Linked DNA regions of Struthio camelus. The protein of the gene in region 2 binds, or shares a complex with, the protein of the main gene of each other region. Links are inferred from orthologs where the notes say so. Each region holds a gene or a part of one and is shown on either strand. Other genes may lie near its edges.

Evidence for each region. Proteins that work in one complex are often made in the same cells at the same time.
Region 1: the proteins of THOC5 (region 2) and THOC6 are in contact, whole or in part, in a cryo-EM structure (PDB 7APK), measured with the Homo sapiens proteins. The link is inferred for Struthio camelus from reciprocal best matches to the Homo sapiens genes THOC5 and THOC6. Residues at the interface, in NP_001002877.1 of Homo sapiens: Pro406, Gly407, Asp538, Ile539, Val540, Asp541, Ala542, Gly543, Leu544, Ser575, Ile576, Ser593, Asp596, Arg599, Glu602, Gly603, Asn606, Val607, Tyr609, Arg660, Phe662, Arg663, Gly664, Pro665, Ser666, Arg667; in NP_001334633.1 of Homo sapiens: Val5, Pro6, Ala8, Val9, Pro10, Leu11, Gly12, Gln13, Val16, Phe17, Leu20, Gln21, Leu23, His24, Met25, Thr26, Phe28, Tyr45, Tyr80, Asp94, Glu125, Val126, Pro127, Glu128, Asn130, Gly146, Tyr170, His172, Glu188, Trp222.
Region 3: THOC5 (region 2) and THOC3 share a complex: the UniProt entries of both Homo sapiens proteins name them as parts of the transcription/export (TREX) complex. The link is inferred for Struthio camelus from reciprocal best matches to the Homo sapiens genes THOC5 and THOC3.

The regions. Positions count from the first base shown.
Region 1 is NC_090973.1:146,341-154,211, forward strand, and holds the start of THOC6 (THO complex subunit 6 homolog), read right to left. Parts: upstream 3,041-7,871; 5' UTR 2,987-3,040; coding exon 2,972-2,986; intron 2,245-2,971; coding exon 2,069-2,244; intron 1,944-2,068; coding exon 1,879-1,943; intron 996-1,878; coding exon 853-995; intron 220-852; coding exon 182-219; intron 105-181; coding exon 56-104; intron 1-55. Other genes in the region: CD2BP2 (CD2 antigen cytoplasmic tail-binding protein 2), read right to left, coding at 6,883-6,993, 7,253-7,347. UniProt on the Homo sapiens protein: Component of the THO subcomplex of the TREX complex which is thought to couple mRNA transcription, processing and nuclear export, and which specifically associates with spliced mRNA and not with unspliced pre-mRNA.
Region 2 is NC_090958.1:5,142,813-5,150,288, reverse strand, and holds the start of THOC5 (THO complex subunit 5 homolog), read right to left. Parts: upstream 3,032-7,476; 5' UTR 1,825-3,031; intron 1,033-1,824; 5' UTR 1,006-1,032; coding exon 910-1,005; intron 295-909; coding exon 151-294; intron 1-150. Other genes in the region: NIPSNAP1 (protein NipSnap homolog 1), read right to left, coding at 3,557-3,621, 3,708-3,791, 3,889-3,983, 4,189-4,220, 4,304-4,444, 4,531-4,601, 4,852-4,946, 5,234-5,279 and 2 more. UniProt on the Homo sapiens protein: Component of the THO subcomplex of the TREX complex which is thought to couple mRNA transcription, processing and nuclear export, and which specifically associates with spliced mRNA and not with unspliced pre-mRNA.
Region 3 is NC_090954.1:10,106,989-10,114,798, reverse strand, and holds the start of THOC3 (THO complex subunit 3), read right to left. Parts: upstream 3,041-7,810; 5' UTR 2,964-3,040; coding exon 2,781-2,963; intron 2,670-2,780; coding exon 2,513-2,669; intron 1,695-2,512; coding exon 1,490-1,694; intron 1,138-1,489; coding exon 976-1,137; intron 886-975; coding exon 785-885; intron 446-784; coding exon 282-445; 3' UTR 1-281. Other genes in the region: SIMC1 (SUMO-interacting motif-containing protein 1), read left to right, coding at 4,717-5,136, 5,848-6,576, 6,969-7,192. UniProt on the Homo sapiens protein: Component of the THO subcomplex of the TREX complex which is thought to couple mRNA transcription, processing and nuclear export, and which specifically associates with spliced mRNA and not with unspliced pre-mRNA.

The DNA.
Region 1 (7,871 bases), on a different chromosome or scaffold from region 2:
GCCGGGGGGGCCGCGGCCCCCTCCCCCCGCGCAGCCCCCCGGGGCCGGGACCCACCTTGGTGTTCAGCTGCAGGCTGTTGATCTCGGGCACCTCCAGGCTGCTCCTGCGCGGGGCGCACAGGCGTCGGGGACCCAGGCGTCCGGGCACCCGGCGCTGGGGGGGGTGCGGGGGGGGACTCACCTGCAGGGGGGGCGGCGGCTCCAGGCCTCCTTGCAGCCCTGGGGAGAGAGGGGTGAGCGAGGGGCCCCGGCATCCGGGGGGGGGCCGGGCATCTGGGAGGGGCCCAGGCGTCCGGGAGGGGCTCAGGGGTCCGGGGGGACTCAGGTGTCCGGGGGGGCCCAGGCATCTGGGAGGGGCCCAGCTGTCTGGGGAGGGGCCCCGGCGTCCGGGGAGGGGCCCAGGTGTCCGGGAAGGGACCCAGATGTCCAAGGAAGGGGCCCAGGCGTCCAGGGAGGGGCCCTGGCGTCTGGGAGGGACCCAGGTGTCCGGGGAAGGGCCCAGGTGTCTGAGAAGGGCCCAGGCATCCGGGAGGAACCCAGGTGTCCGGAGAGGGGCCCAGGCGTCCGGGGAGGGGCCCAGGTGTCCGGGAGGAACCCAGCTGTCCGGGGAGGGACCCAGGTGTCTGAGAGGGACCCAGGTGTCCGGGGAAGGGCCCAGGTGTCCGAGAAGGGCCCAGGTGTCCGAGAAGGGCCCAGGCATCCAGGAGGGGCCCAGGTGTCTGGGAAGGGACCCAGGCGTCCAGCAGGGACCCAGGTGTCCGGGGCGGACCCAGGCGTCCGGGAAGGGGCCCCGGCGTCCGAGAGGGACCCAGGCGTCCGAGAGGGACCCAGGCGTCCGGGCCCCGCCCTCACCTTCTTGACGATCTCGGCCCAGTTCCAGGCCTTGATCTCCCCGTCGCTGGCGCTGAGCAGCTGCCGCTCCGTCGAGACCAGGGCGTAGACGGGGCCGTCGTGGGCTGCGGGCGGCGGCCAGGCGTGCTGGGACCCAGGGCATGCTGGGAGGGCCTCGGCCCAGGGCATGCTGGGACACGCCAGACCCAGGGCATGCTGGGAGGGCCCGGGCCCAGGGCATGCTGGGACACGCCGGGCCCAGGGCATGCTGGGACATGCCAGACCCAGGGCATGCTGGGAGGGCCCGGGCCCAGGGCATGCTGGGACACGCCGGGCCCAGGGCATGCTGGGACATGCCAGACCCAGGGCATGCTGGGAGGGCCTTGGCCCAGGGCATGCTGGGACACGCCGGGCCCAGGGCATGCTGGGACATGCCAGACCCAGGGCATGCTGGGACACGCCGGGCCCAGGGCATGCTGGGACACGCCGGGCCCAGGGCATGCTGGGAGGGCCTTGGCCCAGGGCATGCTGGGACACGCCGGGCCCAGGGCATGCTGGGACATGCCAGACCCAGAGCATGCTGGGACATGCCGGGCCCACGGCATGCTGGGATGGCCCGGGCCCAGGGCATGCTGGGACATGCCAGACCCAGAGCATGCTGGGACACGCCGGGCCCAGGGCATGCTGGGATGGCCCGGGCCCAGGGCATGCTGGGACACGCCAGACCCAGGGCATGCTGGGAGGGCCCGGGCCCAGGGCATGCTGGGACATGCCGGGCCCAGGGCATGCTGGGACACCCACAGGCCCAGGGCATGCTGGGACATGCCAGACCCATGGCATTCTGGGACACCCACAGGCCCAGGGCATGCTGGGACACTCACAGGCCCACAGCATTCTGGGACACCGGCAGGCCCACGGCATGCTGGGACGCCGACTGCCCGCGGCGTGCTGGGAGGGCCCAGGCGCAGGGCGTTCTGGGACACGCCAGGCCCACGGCATGCTGGGACGGCAGCAGGCGCACGGCATGCTGGGACAGGGGGCACCTACCCGCGAAGGAGACCACGGGCTTCTTGCTCTCCTCCTTGGCCTCGGAGCTGAGGGCGGCTGAGAGGCTGCGGGGGGAGGAGAGGGCGGTGGGCGGGGCCGGCGGGAGGCGGGGCCGGCAGTGGTGGGCGGGGCCGGCGGGGGGGCGGGGCCGGCAGTGGTGGGCGGGGCCGGCAGCAGGGGGCGGGGCTACCTGAAGATGGCGATCTCGCCGTAGTTGTTGCCGGCCGCCAGGTAGCGGCCGCAGGGGGAGACGCTCTGCGAGAAGACGCTCATGTGCAGCAGCTCCAGCGCGCGCCGCACGGCCTGCTGGGAAAGGAGCATGGCGTCGGCCCCGGGGCCTGCTGGGAGCCCCCGCCCCACAGCCTGCTGGGAAAGGAGCATGGCGTCGGCCCCGGGGCCTGCTGGGAGCCCCCGCCCCACAGCCTGCTGGGAAAGGAGCATGGCGTCGGCCCCGGGGCCTGCTGGGAGCCCCCGCCCCACAGCCTGCTGGGAAAGGAGCATGGCGTCGGCCCCGGGGCCTGCTGGGAGCCCCCGCCCCACAGCATGCTGGGAAAGGAGCATGGCGTCGGCCCCGGGGCCTGCTGGGAGCCCCCGCCCCACAGCCTGCTGGGAAAGGAGCATGGCGTCGGCCCCGGGGCCTGCTGGGAGCCCCCGCCCCACAGCATGCTGGGAAAGGAGCATGGCGTCGGCCCCGGGGCCTGCTGGGAGCCCCCGCCCCACAGCATGCTGGGAAAGGAGCATGGCGTCGGCCCCAGGGCCTGCTGGGAGCCCCCACCTGGGCGTGACCCCGCCCCACAGCCTGCTGGGAGCCCCCACCTGGGCGTGACCCCGCCCCACGGCCTGCTGGGAGCCCCCACCTGGGCGTGACCCCGCCCCACAGCCTGCTGGGAGCCCCCACCTGGGCGTGACCCCGCCCCACGGCATGCTGGGAGCCCCCACCTGGGCGTGACCCCGCCCCAGGGCATGCTGGGAGCCCCCCCGATTGGCGTGACCCCGCCCCACGGCACGCCGGGAGCCCCCCCGTGGGCGTGACCCCGCCCGGGGCATGCCGGGAAGGCCCCCACCCCTCCCGGCCCCCCCCCGGCCCCGCTACCTCCGCGGGCGCCATCGCCGCCGCTGTCGCGCTGCCCCTCGTGCGCGCGGCCGCCGTCGCCGTCGCGCCGACGTCACCGCGCCCGCCCCTGCCGCGCGGGGCACGCCGGGAGCCGTAGTCCGGCGGCGGCGATGGGGGAGGGTCACGTGGGCGCGGCTGCGCGCGCAGCCCGCCCGCTGCCCGCGGCTGCGCATGCGCGGAGCGCTCCCTCCCCTTCCCGCTGCCTCAACGGCCGCCGCGCATGCGCGGAGCGCCCCCCCCACTCGCGGTGCATCATGGGAGCGACCGGGCCGGCACGGGAGCCGCCATTGGGCGAGACGCGCTCAGGGGCTGCCGGGAGGCGCCGCGCGGGCTGATGGGAGCCGCTGGCCCGCGGGTGATGCGGCGCGGATGGAGCCCCCCCGCGGGGAGCAGGCCGGGCCGGTGACCTCCGACCCCGCGACCCCGGGGGCGCCCGGACGCCTGGGCCCCGCCGCCGCCCCGGCCCCAGGGTGAGCGGGGGCTGATGGGGGAGCAGGGCATGATGGGAGAGGGAGCAGGGCATGATGGGAGAGAGCAGGGGCTGATGGGAGAGAAGGAGCAGGGGCTGATGGGAGGGGAGCAGAGCAAGATGGGAGGGGGGAGCAGGGGCTGATGGGAGAGGAGCAGAGCATGATGGGAGGGGGAGCAGGGGCTGATGGAGCAGGGCATGATGGGAGGGGGGAGCAGGGGCTGATGGGAGAGGGGGAGCAGGGGCTGATGGGAGAGAGCAGGGGCTGATGGGGGAGGGGGAGCAGGGGCTGATGGGAGGGGGGAGCAGGGCATGATGGGAGAGGGGGAGCAGGGGCTGATGGGAGGGGGGAGCAGGGCATGATGGGAGAGGGGGAGCAGGGGCTGATGGGAGAGGGGGAGCAGGGCATGATGGGAGAGGGGGAGCAGGGGCTGATGGGAGAGGGGGAGCAGGGGCATGCTGGGAGGGGGGAGCAGGGGCTGATGGGAGAGGGGGAGCAGGGCATGATGGGATCTCTCCCCTCAGTGGCCCCCGGCCCCCCGGCCCCGGGCTCAAGCGCCGCCCCGACGCCTGCGACTGGTCAGTACGGAGCAGGGCATGCTGGGAGCCCTGCCCCGGGGCATGCTGGGAGTGGGGGTGCTGCCCTGGGGCATGCTGGGAGTGGGGGGTGCTGCCCCGGGGCATGCTGGGAGGTGGAGCCCTGCCCCGGGGCATGCTGGGAGCGGGGGTGCTGCCCTGGGGCATGCTGGGAGTGGGGGGTGCTGCCCCGGGGCATGCTGGGAGGTGGAGCCCTGCTCCAGGGCATGCTGGGAGCGGGGGTGCTGCCCTGGGGCATGCTGGGAGGTGGAGCCCTGCCCCAGGGCATGCTGGGAGTGGGGGTGCTGCCCTGGGGCATGCTGGGAGCAGGGGGTGCTGCCCCGGGGCATGCTGGGAGGGGGGAGCCCTGCCCCAGGGCATGCTGGGAGTGGGGGTGCTGCCCTGGGGCATGCTGGGAGCAGGGGGTGCTGCCCCGAGGCATGTTGGGAGGTGGAGCCCTGCCCCAGGGCATGCTGGGAGCGGGGACACTGTCCCAGGGCATGCTGGGAGGGAGGGAGCCCTGCCCCGAGGCATGCTGGGAGGGGGGAGCCCTGCACCAGGGCATGCTGGGAGTGCTGTCCCAGGGCATGCTGGGAGGGGGGAGCCCTGCCCCAGGGCATGCTGGGAGGGGGGGAGCCATGCCCTGGGGCATGCTGGGAGCAGGGTGCTGCCCTGGGGCATGCTGGGAGGGGGCGAGCCCTGCCCCGGGGCATGCTGGGAGCAGGGTGCTGCCCCGGGGCATGCTGGGAGCGGCGCTGCCCGCAGGGAGCCGGCCCCCAAGCTGGCGCTGTCGGAGGCGCTGGCGGCCGCCCGGCTCCGGGCCCTCGGCCTCCACCACGACCACGGCTACAGCGGGAACGGGCTGCCCCACGGCGCCAGGTACCCGCCCCGGGGGGCTGGGGGCAGTGGGGGGCTGTGGGGCAGGAAGGGGGGGTGTTTGGGGGCCGTGGGGCAGGAGGGGGCAGTGGGGGGGGGCTGTGGGGCAGGAAGGGGCAGCGGGGGGGGCCGTGGGGCAGGAAGGGGGGGTGTTTGGGGGCCGTGGGGCAGGAGGGGGCAGCGGGGGGGGGCTGTGGGGCAGGAAGGGGGGTGTTTGGGGGCCGTGGGGCAGGAGGGGGCCGCGGGGGGGGCTGTGGGGCAGGAAGGGGGGTGTTTGGGGGCCGTGGGGCAGGAGGGGGCCGCGGGGGGGGCCGTGGGGCAGGAGGGGGCAGCGGGGGGCCGTGGGGCAGCGGGGGGGGTGTTTGGGGGCCGTGGGGCAGGAGGGGGCAGCGGGGGGGGCTGTGAGGCAGGAAGGGGGGTGTTTGGGGGCCGTGGGGCAGGAGGGGGCAGCAGGGGGGGGCTGTGGGGCAGGAAGGGGCAGCGGGGGGGGCCGTGGGGCAGGAAGGGGGGGTGTTTGGGGGCCGTGGGGCAGGAGGGGGCAGTGGGGGGGGCTGTGGGGCAGGAAGGGGCAGCGGGGGGGGCCGTGGGGCAGCGGGGGGGGGTGTTTGGGGGCCGTGGGGCAGGAGGGGGCAGTGGGGGGGGGCTGTGGGGCAGGAAGGGGCAGCGGGGGGGGGCTGTGAGGCAGGAAGGGGGGTGTTTGGGGGCCATGGGGCAGGAGGGGGCAGCAGGGGGGGGCTGTGAGGCAGGAAGGGGGGTGTTTGGGGGCCGTGGGGCAGGAGACCCCCGGCGCAGCCCCCCGCCCCCCAGGCCCCCCGCGCCCTGACGCCGGCAGCTGCCCCAGACGGCGCCCGAGGCCGCGACGACCCCGGGAGGCGGCGCCACCGGCGGGGCCCAGGCGTCCGGGCCCCCCAGCTCAGCCCTGCGCGGGGCCCAGGCGTCCGGGCCCCCCCAGCCCCCCATTAAAGACGACTCCCCCTGAGCGCTGAGCGTGCGGCTGTGGGGCCGGCAGGGAGCGGGGGGGCGCGAGGGGCCCAGGCGTCCGGGCCGCCCGGCTCTTCCCCACCGTGCCGGGGGGACGAGGCCGCCCCGGGGGGCAGCCCGGACGCCTGGGCCCCCTCCCGGCCGGTGGGGGGGGGGGGGGGAAGAGACCGGAGCCGGGAGCAGACGGGTTTTAATGGGGAAAAAAACAGAAAACGAACCAAGGAGACGCGACCCCCCCGCGACCCCCGGCGCGCTGTTCCCGGGCTTCCCAGCAGTGCTCCTGGTGTTCCTGTTGGGTGTTGTGGCGGCTGTTCCCAATGGCTGTTCTGCTGGGTGTTCCCAGCGGGTGTTGCGGCAGCACTCCCAGCATTCCGGGTGTTCCCGGTAGTCCCAGCGGCTGTTCCTGGCAAGTGTTCCGGCAGCGCTCCCGGTGTTCCCGGCGGGTGTTGCGGGGGACATTCCTGGTGTTCCCAGCAGGTGTTGCGGGGGGCGCTCCCGGTGTTCCCGGCGGGTGTTGCGGGGGGCGCTCCCGGTGTTGCGGCGGGTGTTGCGGGGGGAGCTCCCGGTGTTCCCGGCGGGTGTTGCGGGGGCGCTCCCGGTGTTCCCGGCGGGTGTTGCGGGGGGCGCTCCCGGTGTTCCCGGCGGGTGTTGCGGGGGGCGCTCCCAGTGTTGCGGCGGGTGTTGCGGGGGGCGCTCCCAGTGTTCCCGTGGGTGTTGCGGGGGGCGCTCCCGGTGTTCCCGTGGGTGTTGCGGGGGGAGCTCCCGGTGTTCCCGGCGGGTGTTGCGGGGGCGCTCCCGGTGTTCCCGGCGGGTGTTGCGGGGGGCGCTCCCGGTGTCGCGGCGGGTGTTGCGGGGGGCCCTCCCGGTGTTCCCGTGGGTGTTGCGGGGGCGCTCCCGGTGTTCCCGGCGGGTGTTGCGGGGGGCGCTCCCGGTGTTCCCGGCGGGTGTTGCGGGGGCGCTCCCGGTGTCGCGGCGGGTGTTGCGGCGCTCAGACGTACAGCTGGAAGTCGATGCGCTCGGAGCGGTAGAAGGCGCCGGCCGGCGACTGCACCTTGCGGCAATAAACGCCCGGGCGGAAATAGCCCTGGGCCGCCCACTCCTGGGGGGGCAGGACCGGGGGGGCGCTGGGGGGCGCTGGGGGCTCCCCGGCACCCCCGGATGGGGGGTGCAGCCCCCCAACGCCGCTGCGGAGCCCCCAGCCCTGGGGCCCAGCCCCCCCGGTGCCCCCGGCCGTGGGGCCCAGCCCCCCCCCGCTGTGGGTCGCAGCCCCCCAGCCATAAGCCCCAGACCCCTAGCTGTGGGTTGCAGCCCCCCAGCCCCCCGGCCGTGGGTCCCAGCCCCCCGGCCGTGGGTCGCACCTGCATCTGGGCGCTGCTGAAGGGGCCGTAGAGGGGGGCGCCGCTGCCGCTCTCCCACTTGTACTCCCAGAGCACCGGGTCCAGCGCCGGCCCCCCTGCGCCGTGGGGCAGAGCGGGGTCAGGGCCGCAGACCCCCCCCCGCGCCGTGGGGCAGAGCGGGGTCAGGGCCGCAGACCCCCCCCCCCGCGCCGTGGGGCAGAGCGGGGTCAGGGCCGCAGACCCCCCCCCCGCGCCGTGGGGCAGAGCGGGGTCAGGGCCGCAGACCCCCCCCCCCCACGCCGTGGGGCAGAGCAGGGTCAGGGCCGCAGACCCCCCCCCCCCACGCTGTGGGGCAGAGCAGGGTCAGGGCCGCAGACCCCCCCCCCCCCCGCGCCGTGGGGCAGAGCAGGGTCAGGGCTGCAGACCCCCCCCCCCCGCGCCGTGGGGCAGAGCAGGGTGAGGGCTGCAGACCCCCCCCCCGCGCCGTGGGGCAGAGCGGGGTCAGGGCTGCAGACCCCCCCCCCCAGCCGTGGGGCAGAGCGGGGTCAGGGCCGCAGAAAGGGGGCTACGAACCCCCTGACCCCCATGGTGGGGGTTTCCCAGCCCCATGGCTCCCCCAGACCCCCATGTGGGGGCTCCC
Region 2 (7,476 bases):
AACCCCTCAGCTACAGCTTACTTTATTTAACAGAGACTGTCCCATTTTCCTAATTCTCCCCAGAATGCCGTGTGGCTCCTGCTCCTCTTGGGTCAGGAAGAAACATCACAGGAAAGCACATGCAGAAAAAGCACTGCAGCTCCTCCTTACGTTGTCCTTAATGCCTCTGCTCTTCAGCTCCTGGATTTCTGCCATGAGTCTCTGCAGCTCCTGGCAGGTCTCTTTGTAGAGCTCGTAGTCTTTGATGGGGTCACGCAGATCCACCTCACCCTCCTCACTGTAGTACCGAGCATCCTGCAAGGGGTAAAAACACCTCCTAAAGTGCCCTGGACATAAACCACCAGATCTTGAGCACTGCCTCAGCCCAGTCATCCCACACTCGAGGGGGCTTGCGCAGCGGAGAGTGACTCGTTTAACCACCCGGGGCACAAATGCCTGGAAAGTTTAGGCCTCTTATATCATCACTGTAAATTAAGACCAGTATCTGTCCTGCACCAGCGCAGATTGTTATCAAGGCTGCACACCTACTTCTTCAACCTTAAATTCCACTTTGACTAAAACTAAGTTATTCTGATCTTTGTGGGAGTGTTTTAAGGCAACCTGCAAATCCCTGAAACACCTGACAGCCTCAGACTTGCCTGTTATGTCCCAAAAGGCAACATTTGACTCCATGGGAATTGCGTTTCCTCCAGGAGGAGAAAACCCGCTCAGAAACTGAGAGTGGGAGTCTTGCAGGTGTTCAGATTTGGCTGGTTCTGACCCCACTCAAGCTGCCTGAGTGGGGGAATGAGGCCAATAAAAGGAAGTTTTGGTATCAGCTTCTCATAATGCAGCAGGACAGGAGCACCTTGCGAAAGCAGGCAGCTCCTCCCCGCATGGGGCGCCAGGAGAGGCTGCGGGGCACCCCACCTGGTCAGCGTCGGCCTTGCCCCGCTTGCCCTCCTGTGGGCCCCCATCGGTGCGGATAACTTTGGGCTTCCTCTTCTTGCTGGAATCTGATGACATGGTGCTGCCGGGAGCTGCCTGGCAGGGCTGGGGGACAAAGAACCAAGTGAGCATGTGAAGAGGGACAGAGGCACCCAGAATGGGGCCCCCCAGGCTCCTGTCTGCCAGGCCCATCTCAAACTCTGACAATCTCCGATAAATTAGGCCCTCCCCCTGCCCCACGACAGGCTAGGCACCAGGCTCTGCCCTCTTCCAGCTCTACAACCCACCGCGCCCTGGTGTCTGCCCCCCACCAGACCCCCAACCTGCTGAGCTCCAGGGTCTGCCCTCTACCCCAACTCTCCTGGCCCACTGCCATCCCCCAACCCACCAGGCACAAGGGCCTCCCCCCTGCCAACTCTTCCAGACACCCAACCCACTGATCCCCACAGCCTCTCACCCCCAACTGCAGTTCTCCTTGGCTTTCCCAGCCCTCAACCTACCGAGCCCTGGCTCCCTCACAGCCTCCAACTCAGCAGGCCCCGTGGCCTCCCGCCCACCCCAGCTCTCCCGGTCCCCTGTTCCCCACCCCGCTGGGCCTCGGGCTCCCCCCTGCCGCAGCTCTCCTGGGCCCCTGCTGGACCCCGAAATCACGGAGCCTCGCAGCTTCCTCCCTGCCCCAACCCAGCCCCCAACTCACGGAGGACTGCCCACCAGGCCCTAGGTCCCCCTCGGTCTCCAGCGCACTGGGTCCCCCAGGACCTCCCCCGCCGGGCCTCAGCGCCTCCCCCCCAACTGACCGGGCCCAGGCCCGGCTCGCCAACACTCCCCCGCCCCAGCTGCCCCCGGCGAAGCCCCCTCCCGCCGCAGACCCGCTCGGCCGCGGCCCCCCGCGCTCACCGGTCAGCCCCTCTCAGCGCCGCCCGGATGTGACGTCACGGAGCAGACGAGCGCGGCGCAGAGCGGCAGCCGCCAGAGGCGCCCTCTAGCGGGCAAGGCCCGCCGGGAGGAGCGCGGGCCGAGGGGGGCGGGGCCCGGCCGAGGGGCGGGTCTGGCCCAAAGGGGCGGGGCTTATAGTCGCCCCACCTCCAGCCCCGGAGGTCGGTGCCCCTTGGAGGCACCAGCGGATTTGAGGCGGGGAGCTGAGGGGGCTCATTAGGGGCCTCTTGGTGCAGGGGAGCCCCTTAGACATGGGGGTCCTCTTGGTGTGTGTGGGGGGCACCCATGGGCATGGGGGCTCCTTGGGGTAGGGGTCCCATTGGCTTTGGGAGTCCCTATGGGCATGAGGGGGGCCCTGATGTATGGGGGACACCCACAGGCATGGGTGGGGGTCCCCCTTGGCATTGGGGGGCACCCCTTGGTGTATAGGGGTCCACTGGTGGGTGAGGGCACCCTTGGGCATGGGGGGGCCCTTGGAGTGAGGGTCCCCCTTGGCACTGGGGGACACAAATGGGCATGGGGGGGCCTTGTGAATGGGGGGCACCCATGGGCATCAGGGCGCTCCCTGGGGTGGGGGGAGGCCCATTAGCAATGACGGACACCCAAGTGCATGGGAGGGGCCTTTGTGCAGGGGGACACCCTTGGGCATGGTGACTCCCATTGGCTTTGGGGGGCACCCATGGGCATAGGGGGGGTTTGATGTATGGGGGCATCCATGGCCACTGGGAGGCTCCTTGGGGTGGGGGGCACATTGGCATTGGGGGACACCCACAGACATGGGAGGGGGGCCCTGGTGTAGGAAGGGCACCCATCGGCATGGGGGGCACCTACGGGCATGAAGGTGCACCTTGTTGAGGTTGAGGACCACAGGGTGGGGGGTCCCCAGTGGTGCAGGGGACACCTGTGCGCATGGGAGCGGCCCCGGTGGGACTCGTCACTGCTGACCCCCCTGGGACGCACCCCGGCCCCCCACTCGCAGACAGGGCCACCCATGGGCACATCGAATGTTTAATGGGTGCAGCCCCCGGGGCCCGGCCATGGCCCGGGGCTCATTAGTGCTAATTAACACTGTCCTCCAAAGAACTTGGGGCTCCCAGCAGCAGCGGGAGCAGAGGACTGGCAGTGCATGGCCACTGCTGTCACCTCCTGACACCACTGTCACCTCCTGGGGTCGCAGAGATGGGTGCTCCCACCCCAGGGACAGCGGTGGGTGCCAGGGACACCCTGCAGGGGGGAGACCCCAGAGTGGGAGCACCCATGGGGTGTCCCCGGCTCCTGTCCTGCATGCGGTGTCCCCAGGGCCCGTCCCCATGGCGGATCCCCAGCTCCTGTCCCCTGTGGGGTGTCCCTGGCTCCCGTCCCCCATGGGGGGTGTCCCCAGCTCCTGACCCTGAGGTGTGTCCCTGGCTCTGTCCCTGCAAGGGGTCCCCAATGGGTGCTCCGGGGACGAGGGGAGCTGGGTGCCACGCGGGACCCTGGCCCTGCCCCAGTGAGCCTTGGGGGACGATCAGGACAAGGGGGACAGGAGGTGACATGGTGCCGAGCCCCCAGAGGAAAGCAGGGGCGCCCCCAGCTCCCATCCCCATGGGCTACCCCAAGTAGGTGCTCAGGGCAGGTAGGGGATCTGGGTGCCCTGCGGGGACCCCGGCGTGCCCCAGGGGCACGGAAGGCGACACGGTGCTGAGGTGCCGGCTCACTGCAGGGGCGAGATGCGCAGGGGGATCATGATGCGCGACTCCATGCTGCGGATCAGCGGCACTGCAAAGCCAGTGGCGGCGGGGGGACGTCACCGCGGGTGACCCCTGACACTGAGCACCCATGGGTGCCCCTGCCGCCACGCTCACCCGTGTAGTAGACGTTCTCATCCCAGCCACTCTTGCGCCATGCCGCGTTCCTCGTCTCCTCGCGTGACTGCAGGTCCCGGTATGCTGCAGGGAGCGAGGTTGGGGGGGGCAACAACACAGAGCATCTCACACTGGCGCAGAAGCACCCAGCACCCACGGGTGCCCCTGGGTGCCCACTTACCCCAGAGGTGGTGCACAACGTAGAGCTCGCCGATCTGGGAGAAAAAGCCACCCACGGCCTCCTGGTTCTCCTGCCGGTACTTAATGGCCCGAGCCCTGGCCGGGGTGGGGGGAAAGAACTGCTGTGGGGTGCCAGAAGCCTTCCTCTTCCTCCTCCTCCTCCTCCTCTGTCCACAGCCCCAGGGACTGTGCAGGGAACGAGGGAGTGGAGGACGGCCCCCAAGGACGGGACCAGCTGGGAAACTGAGGCAGTGCCTGGGGCAGGGGGGAAACTGAGGCAGAGACCAGGCTGTCTCCTTACCAGTTATTGCCCCACTCGATCATGGTCCCCGGCTGGAAAGGGAGAAGCAAACCAGCAACGTTTGAGCGGGTGGCTCCCTGCACCCCTGCCCCCGGCACCGCGTGGGGCCACTCGCCTTGAGTTTGTAGGTCCTCAGCTCGTAGACGTGGGGCCCAGGCCGGGGCAGGGGCTCGTTCCAGAAGCTGAACTCGAGCAGCAGCTGGTTGCGACGGGCCAGCAGCAGCTTGCTACGCTCGCGCCGGAAGGCCTCGTACTCCTGCGGGGAGCCCGGATGGCCATGGGGATGCCCAGGGACACGCCAGTGTCCCCCCCACCCCGGCACGGTGCCGCCCTGAGTGCTACCTGGTTCTGCTTCAGCTTGTTCATGCACTCGGTGAGTGCCGGGTACCCGCCGGAGAAGCGCCAGAGGTGCACTGCAAGGACAAGGCACCTATGGGGTGCCACCGAGCCCAGGGACCCGCCAGCACTCGCTCCCGGGCGGCCGGGTGATACCAGGACAGAGCCGTGCATAGCTCCCAGCAGCACCCTCTCAAAGCTCTGTTTTGCCACTTTCCCCCCCAAAATTGTACCCTCCCTTGCCCACACGGCCCTTCCCTGAGGGCGGGAGGCCGCCGAGGCCCCAGTGCTGCTGTGCCCCCGCTGCAGGGATGCTGCCGCACTGACCTGCCTGGTCCTGCTCGCCATACCACGTGTTCCAGCTGCCCACCAGCGTGCAGGGGTAGTCGGCGTCCGCGTGCAGCTTGGGCAGCGCCTCCTCCCTGCGGGGACATGGGGGATTGCAGGGGACCCTTGTGCCCCAGGGGACGCCCAGGAGATGGCAGGCGGCAGCCAGGGGCTGCATCCCAACGCAACCTGGCCTCACCCCTGCGGGAAGCTCCCTGCACCCATTTCACAGGAAGGAAAACTGAGGCCCAGAATAAGAAACCTGCCGGGGGCTCCTGAAGCAGCTCGGTGTGAGCTCCCCCAGCCCTGCACCAGCCTCAGTAGCCCCCTGGGTGCTCCCTGCAGGGACGCTGGGTGACCCTGACCCGCACGGGAGGCTCACGTCAGGCTGTTGTAGGTGTCCAGACACTCGGGCTTCACGTTGTGAACTGTGGGAGAGAGGGCGAGAGGGTGAGAGCAGGAGCTGAGGCCCGGGGAGGAGCTGCCCCAAGTGGAGAGCAGCCACTGAGCTGGGGACAGAAATGGGGCAAACGGCCAAATAACGGGGTGCGGAGGTGCCGCGGAGCTGTGCCGAGGTGCCCCTGGCCCTGCCTGCCCCCGGCGCCTCTCACACTGGATCTTGTAGAGGTTGCTGGTCTCCTTCTTGGCCAGGAGGTTGGAGTGAGCATCCTTGCGGGGATCCACCTTGTGCACGAAGAGTGAGCGCAGCCAGCTGCCCTCGGTCGTCCCCGCGTAGCCCCTGCGAGACGCCGGTGTCACCCTGGGGGGCGACATCGGTTACGATAAGAACGAGGAGGGAGTTTTGCTTGCAGTTCTGCCTTCCTGAGTCTGCAGGCAGCCAGCAGCATCCGCTCACAGACAGCACTGGCTGGCTCACAGGGCTTTGTGGGAGGCTGGTTTCATTCGTTTTGTGTTGCAAAGAGGGAAACTGAGGCGCGAAAATGCCTTGTCCAGAGCCTTGCAGGAGAGCTGCGCTCGGAACCAGGGAGCAGCTCCCCCAGCGCTGGATTTTGGGTTTTTTTGGCCTGTCTGAGGCTGCTGGTGGCATGTTGCCGTCGGAGCCAGGACGCGCGTGTGCCACTAGCACACGTGTCACTGGGGCCCTGTGAAGGAGGAGGCTCCCTGGCACCCGCTTTCGTCCCGCTCCGGCATGGGCAGCCCACCAGGCACTCAGGGCACGGGCAACCCACGGGGAAGAGCCTCCCCAGGGCGAGGGACACTCGTGGCAGCGTGGCTGGGTGTCACACGAGGGCAGAGGCTCCTGGGTATCACGCGAGGGCGTAGGCCCCTGCGCCACACCGGGGGCACCGGCGGTGGCACCCGCCGGGCTGCCTGCAGGCTCGGGGAGGCAGCGCTGGGGGGGGCCACGGTGGGGCGGTGGCACGCAGGGGAGGCTTGCCCTGCGCCAGCCTCCTCGGGGATGCCGTGTCATCGGCCGGACCTTGGCCCGCTGCACGGCAGCTGGTAACACATTAACCACGGGGTGGGGGGGGGGGGCAGGGTAAACAACCCCCCTCTGCAGCACGGGGTGCTGCCAGGCCGGCCGTGGCTGCGTGTGTCCTGGCGCAGGGACACAGGGACATGTCCTGGGGCGGGGAGCCAGCGTGGGGCAGCCCCGTGTGAGGGGGGCCTGGGGACGGAGGGGATGGGGACGTGAGGCGGGGGTGGCAGGGGTGGAGGGCAGGGATGGGGGGACAAGGGGACCGGGGGGATGGCGGGCCAGAGGGATGGGGGATGGAGGGACAAGGGGACGGGGGGACAGAGGGATGGGGGAAAGGGGGACCAAGGGGACAGAGGGACAAGGGGAGGAGGGCACAAGGGATGGGGGACTGAGGGAAGGGGGAAGAAGGGGACAGAGACCAGGGCTGAGGGGGCAAGGCTGGACCCCGGTGCCCGGGACTGAGGGCAGAGGCGGGTCCCCGGGGTCGGGGCGGGTCCCGGTGCCGGGTCCCGGCGCCGCCTCTCACCGCGCTGCGCCGCCGCCGCCGCCCGCCCGCAGCCACCGCGCCGCGCTCCTGGCCACCCGCACCGCCGCCATCATCCCGCGCAACGGGGCCACGCGCGGCGGCCACCCACCCCTCCCTCGGCACAGGGGCGTGGCTACGCGCCGGCCACACACCCTCTCCAGCGGCGACTCTGATTGGCTGTCGTACTGGGCCGGGCTTTGCCACGCCCACCCCAATGCTGTCGTGGCTACGCCCCAGGGCCGGCCCTATTGGCTGCCGGGGGCGGGGGGGTCCCAGAGCGCGGCCAGGGGCACGAGCTGGGCAGAGGCCGTTCACCTCGGTCACATGGCAACACCCAATCAGAGGAGCTAGGCGAAGATGGCGGCGCCTCATTGGCTGCGACGCCCTGCTCTGCTGCAGCCTGATCAACCAGGGCACCTCGTGGGGGCGACGTTGCTCATTGGTCCCTGCCTCGGGGGGGCGGACCCCCTCACAGACCACACCCGGGGGGCAACCAGACGGGGATGGGATGCACCAGCCTGGGGGTGGGGACCCCAGCGACCCAGGCGTCCGGGGCGCTGCTCCCTCAGGGATCGAGGTGTCTGGGGCCCTGCTCACCTCAGGGACCCAGCCTGGAATGAGCCTGTACGAGCCCGTAGAGCCTGGCACAGGCCTGTAT
Region 3 (7,810 bases), on a different chromosome or scaffold from region 2:
TTGGCCACTTGCCTTTGCAATGGGCCTCCGTTCCCTGGAGACCAGCAGGGGGGCTCTGCGAGCATCCCCCACCGTCCTCACCAGCACACAGGCTGCTTTTTACAAAGGCTCCCAAGAGCAGGATGCACAGAGCTGAGCCAAGGATCACCATACTGCCAAGCAGGTACGGAGGGGACTGATCTCCTTCCCCCATCCTAGGTTAACCAAGCGTTCTCCCATCCCCGACAGCAGGGAAGTGTTGCCTCTCCTGGTGGTCTACCCTGCTGCCTGTTGCAGTTCCACTAGGAGTCATTGGGGAGCCCGAAGAGCTTGACAGTGCCCGCCTCCCGGCTGCTGTCATATTTGCCATCTTTGTCGTCACAGGCGAAGGCCAGCAGAGGCCTCTTCGGGTGCCAGGCCACTGTGAAGGTGGGGGACTCGCACTGCACCTCCCAAAGCTTCTCTCCTGCACAGAAGAGGGGCCAAGTCAGGCTGGAGAGCCTCTGGCCCTGCATTGCGCACTGCCCCATAGCACACACCAGAGCCAAGCACCCCCCTCCTCCCTCCCGTGTGGGGCAGAGGAAGAATTAGTGCTGCTTCAGTGCTTTAATCAACTGAAGACAAGACACAGACACAACCCATATCTAAAAACAGACCAACTAGGCAGAGGCTCCCCCTCATGGCAATCTGCTGCGCACAACCAAGCTCTTTGCAAGCAGACTGAATCTCCCAGGGCCCTCCCAGCTCCACCAGCACATCTCTGTCCAATTCCCTCCTTGCTATTTCCTTGACGGGGAACCATTACCTGTCTCCACTTCCGCAATGTCAATGAAGTGATCTTCTGATGCCGACGCCAGCATCTTCCCATCATGGCTAAAGCTCAGCGTTCGCACAGGCCAGTCAAGCCTGCAACAGCAAGTCCAAGCAGAGAGTGAGCCATCTCCCACAGGGTCACCAGAGAGAGAAGAGAAAAAGGTTCAGGACAGGACTACCTACCTTGAGAAGCACCTCACACACACCAACTCATCCACATCCCAGAGGCTCACGAGTGCATCGGCACTGCCTGTGGCAAAGTACTTCCCCATGGGATCAAACTTGATGCAGATGCAGTTTGAAGGATGGGCGTTGATGGACTGAATGGGTTTCAGCTCTGGGTAGCTGTGGAGACGAAGGGAAAGAGCAGGAAGCACTGAAAGGAGCAGAGGGCTTGTTTACAAGATGAGGCATAAGGTGCACTGGGATGGTGAGCCAACCAAACTGGAAACCTTGAGTGCTGGATGAATGAGGCAAAGCACCTGGGTCACTCCTCAAGAAGCCCAGCCCAGAACTGGGGCAACCTCAACTCTAGGCAACTTTGTTCCCACCTCAGGACTGGGAAACACTGGGATACAGGACCTCGGCCCCTGCAAGCAGCAAAGGGACTTGCAGACCGACGTCTACCTCGGCTGACAGAGATGCATCAAGGCAACCAGTCCACCTACCCACCCTGCCTGCTGCCACAGGCACCTACCTGAGAATATTGATGCAGCCGTTCCCATTAGTGAGGAAGAACATGTTGTTGTCATTGTTCCAGGAGATCTCATTCACCTCAAACTTGAACTGCTCCTCAGCTTTGGAGCGATGTGTCTTGGCATCAATGAAGGTGACAACGTCATCCTTGTTCCCTACTGCAATGGTCTGGCCATCAGGACTCCAACAGATGTTTATGTTCTCCCCTAGAGGGAAGAAAGGGCAACAGGTCCCATTTACACCCACCAATCCATAGGACCACAATCAGTTAAGCAGACAGGTAGCTTTTTTTTTTTCCTGACTCAAGCCCGTAGTCTGCTCCACTAACTCGGAACTGCTCCTAAATCTAGGACAAATCTGCAGTTCAACATACACATCCCACTCAGTAGCCGGCTAAGAGATAACATAGAGTTAATGAAAACTAAACTTAACAGAACCACAGCTTCAAACCAACAGCATTGCACCACTCCCCTTCCCAGTTTAGCCAAGATGTGACCACAGAGATGACCAAGCAAGATCAAATCAAAGAGCCTCTTAACCGAGTGACCTTCAAATCCAGAAGAAGTAGCAGCCAACCACAAGCACATACAAATGAGGGTAAGAACAAGGCAATTTGCAGCTATACCATCTTGTAATGCTGTTCCCAGACCCATCAATTTGAAATTGGAGCTTTCCTCAGCCGGAGATGGTATCTGTGTTAATCAGTCCATGAATATGATTAACTGCTTCCTGAATCCAGCTAAACTTTTAGTCTCACCATAGGTCTCTGAAAACATGCCTTTCCTTGCACCCCATAGACTCCGGAAGCAAGTACACAAGACATTTTAACAACCAGCATCATATATCAGCGGTTTCTCCAGTCCTGTCACCAACATAAGTCAGCCCTCGTGTGCTGTGCTGCTCCGTATACCTGCTAGAGCTAGATGAGCACAAGGCAAAGACAAAAGCAATCAGCAGAGGTGCCCCGATCCCCACCACCCCCAGGAAACCGGCCCACGGCGGCAAGGTCCTGCCGGGGGCCCACCTTTGGTGTTGACGGTGGCAATGCACTTGGTGGTGCGGACGTCCCAGATGCGGATGGTTTTGTCGCCGGAGGCCGTGACGAAGAGGTCGGGGTTGCTGGGGTGCCAGCAGAGCTGATCCACGCTGTCGCCGTGGCCGCGGTAGTTGTTCTCTTTCACCTAGAGGCAGAGGGCGGCGGTGGGCCGGGGGCAGGCGGACAACCCGCGGCCTCCGGCGGGCCCGGCCCGCTCCCCAGCGCCGCCGCCCCCGGCCCGGCCCGGCCCGCTCACCAGCCGGTCCTTCTCCAGCACGAAGACGCTGGCGGTCTTGTCGAAGGAGCCGGAGGCGAGGCGGCGGCCGCAGCAGCTCCAGGCCACCGAGTGCACCTTGGCGCCGTGCGCCGGGAACTCGCGGCTCCGCGTGTTGGCGCGGAAGAGCTCCTGCATGGCCAGCACGTAGGGCGACAGCGCCATGGCCCCGCCGCCGCCGCGGCACCCGTCCTCCCGCCGCCGCCGCGCGTGACGCAGCTTCCGCCCGGCCCGGCCCGCAGGGGGCGGAGCCGCCGCCGCCCGCAGGGAAGATGGCCGACAGCGTCATCCTCATAAGCGACTCGGGCTCCGAGGGCAGCGGCCGCTCGCCGCCCCGCCACCGCCGTCGCCGTCGCCGCCAGGTGCCGCGGCGCCCCCCACCGCCCCCCGCGGTGAGTCACCGGCCCCCGGGGAACGGGCGGTGGCGGCGGCGGGCGGCGCCTCCCGCTGCGCCGTGAGGGCGGGGCGGGACGGGGCGGGGCGGGGCGCAGCTTGCCCCTCACAAACATGGCGGCGCTTCCGCCCCGGCGGGAGGCGCGGACAGGGACGGGTGCCGCGCGGGGACAGAAAGCCTCGGGGCGCCGCGGCGGGCGCGCGGCGCTGAGCCGGGGCGGCCGCGGCGCCCAACGGACACCGGCCCTGAGCCGCCGCCCCCCCCCCCCCCCGGGTCCCAGCCCGCCCAGCCGTGTCCCCCCGGGAGAGCCTCGGCCCCCCGGCCACGTCCTCTAGAAGGGTCCCAGCCCCCCCAGGCACGTTCCCCCGGGGGGGTCTCAGCCCCCCCGGGAGGGTCCCGGCCCCCCTCACCCCCAGCCCCCCAGGAGGGTCCCGGCCCCTCTCAGCCCCCGCACCCCAGGAGGGTCCCAGCCCCTCTCATCCCCAGCACCCCAGGAGGGTCCTAGCCCCCCTCACCCACAGGCCCCCAGGAGGCTCCCAGTCCCCCTCAGCCATGTCCCCTCAGGAGGCTCCCGGTCCCCTTGCCACATCCCCCCAGACATCCCAGCCCACCATGGCCTCCCGCCCCCAGGAGGGTCCCGGCTGCCAGACCCTCGTGCCCCGGGCAGCCGCGTGGCCCGTGAGCGAGGCCGCGTCTCCGTCGCGCCCCCCGCGCAGAGCGTGGCCTGACTGAGGAGAGGCCCAGACAGCCCAGCCTGCGCAGCCCCCCACGGCCTCCAGCCCCCCGAGCGCCCCGGGGTCCTCCCGGCCCACCTCAGCCTCCCCCAGCCGCACGTCTCCGGCGCCCAGCCCCGGGGGGTGGTGGAGGCGGCCGGGGGCCAGCTCACCCGCACGGCCCCGCCGGCAGGGCAGAGGACGAGCCCGCGTGGCGGCGGCGCGGGGGGAGAGGCCATCTCCCGCCCAGGCCGGCCCGGCGGCCCCCAGGCTGGAAGCCGTTGGCGCCGGTTCTGATGCAGCTTTCAAACGCCGGCAGTTCCGGGCGGCCGCGGTGCGCGGCGGGGCTGCCCGGCGGGGCTGCGGCTCGGGCGAGCGCCACGCTTGTTTGGTCCCGCTGTTTTTCCTGAACGAGCAAAGCCTGTTGGGTTTTGTCACCTCCCCACAGTAAATGCAGCCCCCAACTTGGGAAAGGCAGCGGGTCTGAGTCAGGGAAAACAAAATGGATTTAAATGGATTTTCTTGAAGATGTTCTCAAAACATTTTCCTGTTTTGAGACGCTGTGATTTTTTTCCAAGAGCAAAAAGACCCTGACCCCTGCTGGGCATGTAATGATCCCATGCACCTTCTGAGACGTGCTGTGTCCTGCCTGCCCCTGGTGCGGACACAGATGTGCTCCCCCTGCCTGCTCCTGCGGCCCCTTGTAGATGCACATCTTTGGAGCTCGGGGTTAAAGAGGCTGCATCGCCCGGCGAGTCCTGGATGGGAAGCCCCCAAAGTCTCTGTGCTGCTCTAGATCTGGTCTGGTGTCATGGACGTGAAGGTAGCTCTATTCCCTTCCACTTGTGTCCGCGTAGCGGGTGAGGCTGTGCCGCAGGGGGATGCTGGGGGGGCTTGCAGACATCTCTGGCACGTGCTGTATCACGGCCTGGGGGAGCTGTGGTGCCGTGCCCTGCCAAGGAGCTCGGCGCAGCTCGTTTGGCTCCTGCGGAAACTCCTGCTGCCGGGGAGGGACCCACTGGGGCACTGGACGTCACCGTCATCCCACGCTTGGGACAGCTCTTCCGTGGGACCGACCGCCGAAGCCTTCCTTGTTCTGTCGCGCAGCTGCAGCCCCCTCCTGCGGGACTGGGATAGCGAGCGTTATGGGGAGAGCGCAGGGGACGCTGAGGTTCAGATCCACGAAGGGGCAGAGCTCTCCACCCCGGCGCTGCGTGGCCCCAGGACGGAGGTGTGGAGGCAAAGCTTCCCGCTGCGGGTGGGCTGGGGGAGCCGAGGTCAGCCAGCCTGTTAGGGGAGCGAGCGGGGAACAGCTAGCGCCTGTGCCCGCTCCGGCTGCTTCCCGTCTGCCCTGCAGCTGCACGGGGGCAGGGGGGAACAACCCAAACTCCCCTTGCTCTGCAGCCAAACGCAGCAGCAGTGGCTGTTCCTGGCACTGGAGAAACCCACTAGAGTGGGCCAGGCTCGGCAGAGCAGACTGTAAGGGACGGTCCCCCGGCTCCCCAGGCTCGGCAGAGCCTCTTCGGGCCAAGCATAGCCAGGGCCCCAGGCTGCACGCCAGGCTTTTGGGGATTGTTTTTGTTTTGAAGCAGAGGACGCAGCCGTAAGGCACCCCCGGGTGAGCAGGGCTTGTCACCGGCAGCAGCGGGGATGAGAGGCCCAGGCCAAGCCCGGGCCCAGCCGTGCTGCTGGGGGAGGCTGACACCAGAGCTCGGGGTTGCCACCTCGCAGCCCACCCCGTCCCCTCCGCCAGGCAGCAGGGTCTTTGCTCCTGGTTTCTCTTCCTGCACTGGGTGCAGATCAGCCCCTTCCCCTCCATCTTCCCTCTCGTGGGCCGGGGAGGGCCAGGGCAGTGCCAACGCACCGGAGGCTCCTGGCAGGGCAGGCCCAAGGCAGCCGGGCGCCTCCATTGCAGACAGCGCTGACCCCTCTGTCCCCACAGGAGATCATCGACCTGACCTGCGAGGAGACGAGCGCAGAGCCAGCACCACGCCCCAGCCTCACCATCATCGACCTGACGGAGGAGGAGGACCCATGCAGCCCTCCCGACGACGCCGCAGGCTGTGCTTCCCGGGCAGCACGCGCCTCCCCGCCCAGGCTCTGCTTCCCCACCAAGCAAGAAAGGGAGGTGACGGTGGAGCCCAGCCCTGCAGTGCCCTCCCATGGCGCCCCCGCAGAGCCCCTTCCCGCCTTGGACTCAGCGGAAAGTGCAGGGAGCAGAGGGGGCTTCTCTCCCGCCTCCAGCTGCCAAGGCTCTTCGCGCAGCCCTGGGCAGAACTGCAGCACCACCACTTTTAACAGTGACTTGGGCTCCCTGGCCAGCATGCAGCTGGACTCTGACCAGCTCTCCCTGTCCCCCTCCAGCCTGGACAGCAGCTGCAGCTGGAGAGCCTCTGGCGCGGAGGAAGAGACTCCCCCCAATTGCCAGCAAAGGGAGCTCCCCCCAGGCCTGAGCCCCACGCCAGCCAGCGTTGCTTCATCCCCGGCAGGAGCCAAAAGGCCTTTGTTGGAAGCAAGAGACCTGCCGCCGCGTGTAGCAATGCAGAAAGTGGCCCCAGCCAGGACCAGGGCTGACAACAAGGCCTGGCTGAACAAACTGCAGTATTTCAGGAGGACTGGTGTCCATCACCTCTTCCTCCAAGACATAGCACCCGACAGGGAAACGCTGCAGGTAAACGGGGTTCAGAGCAGCTGCTGCCAGGCCCAGCTGGAGTCTGCTCGGTGACGGGTCCCGCAGAGGGGGAGAGGTAGAGCAGGAAGCAGGGGCAGCCCCTGCTCTGCTTCCTGTTTGGGGGAAAGCTTTGGTGGGCGGTTGGGATCTCTGGTTACTGCAGTTCCCTTAACGGTGGGACACGCATCACAACTGGAGGGCAGCTGTGACTTACCTGCGAAGGCATCAGTGCTGTGAGGCAGCCCCGGAGCAGGGCGCTGCCCAGCACTGTGCACACCGCGTGCCATTAGGGTGCGGGGCGAGGGCATCGCGGGCGAGGGTGCACAGCAGATACAAGGTACGCACAGGCCATGGGGAGCCGCCTTTCACCCATTGCCTTGCCTTGCACGCAGCAGCGGAAACCCGAGCTCATCCCCAGCGGGAAGCTGAGCATGGTACACACCACCATTGAGGAGAACTTCCTCGAGGGCACATTGCATTTCCTGAGTGAGTTCGTCTCCTGCCAGCACTGCCCTCCTAAAGACATCGTGTCCTACTTGATTAGACAGATCCTGTTGAAATCCCACCAGGGAGAGATCCTGAAGGACACCTACATGCTGCTGATGAAAATCCAAATGTATGTTTTCCCTCAGCTACGGTGCCCTGGGGCTGGGTTGATGCTCCCTGGGGTCTGCCCAGCCCCAAGGCTATTCTCTGCGTACCGTGCCCAAAAAAGAGGAAGCAATTTCCCCTACAGTCCAGGACAATCCTGCTTCTGCCCCTGCCTTCTGTTCACAGAGGTTACCAAAACTGACACAGCCCCAGGCTGTCTGGGAGCTGGAGAGGGTCAGGGCCAGTACTGGCCTAGATAGGAGCCTCTGAAGTCCCAAGTGGAGGAAGGATGGGGGTGAGAGAGGCGGGGGATGCTGAAACAATAGGGAAAGCAGCTCCAGTTATTTCATGAGAGCATTTAAATCATTTTATAGCAAGCCAGCAGAGCTCAGGGATTGCCTTGACACCAGGGAGTCCTCTAGGTCAGAGCAGTGTTTGCCTTGTTCCTGAAGAGCAGATCTCATTCTTCGCTGCAGTGACATGGCAGAAACGCTTCCCCTGGGATGCAGCAGCAGCCACGGGCTGGAGATGGTAGGGGCAGTTCACCTGTGCAGCACTCGGGTTTCCCGCAGCGAGGCACGACGTTTCCCCAGGCCCCAGGCCCAGGAGTGCCGGTGCTCTCCGCGGAGCACACCCCCAGGCA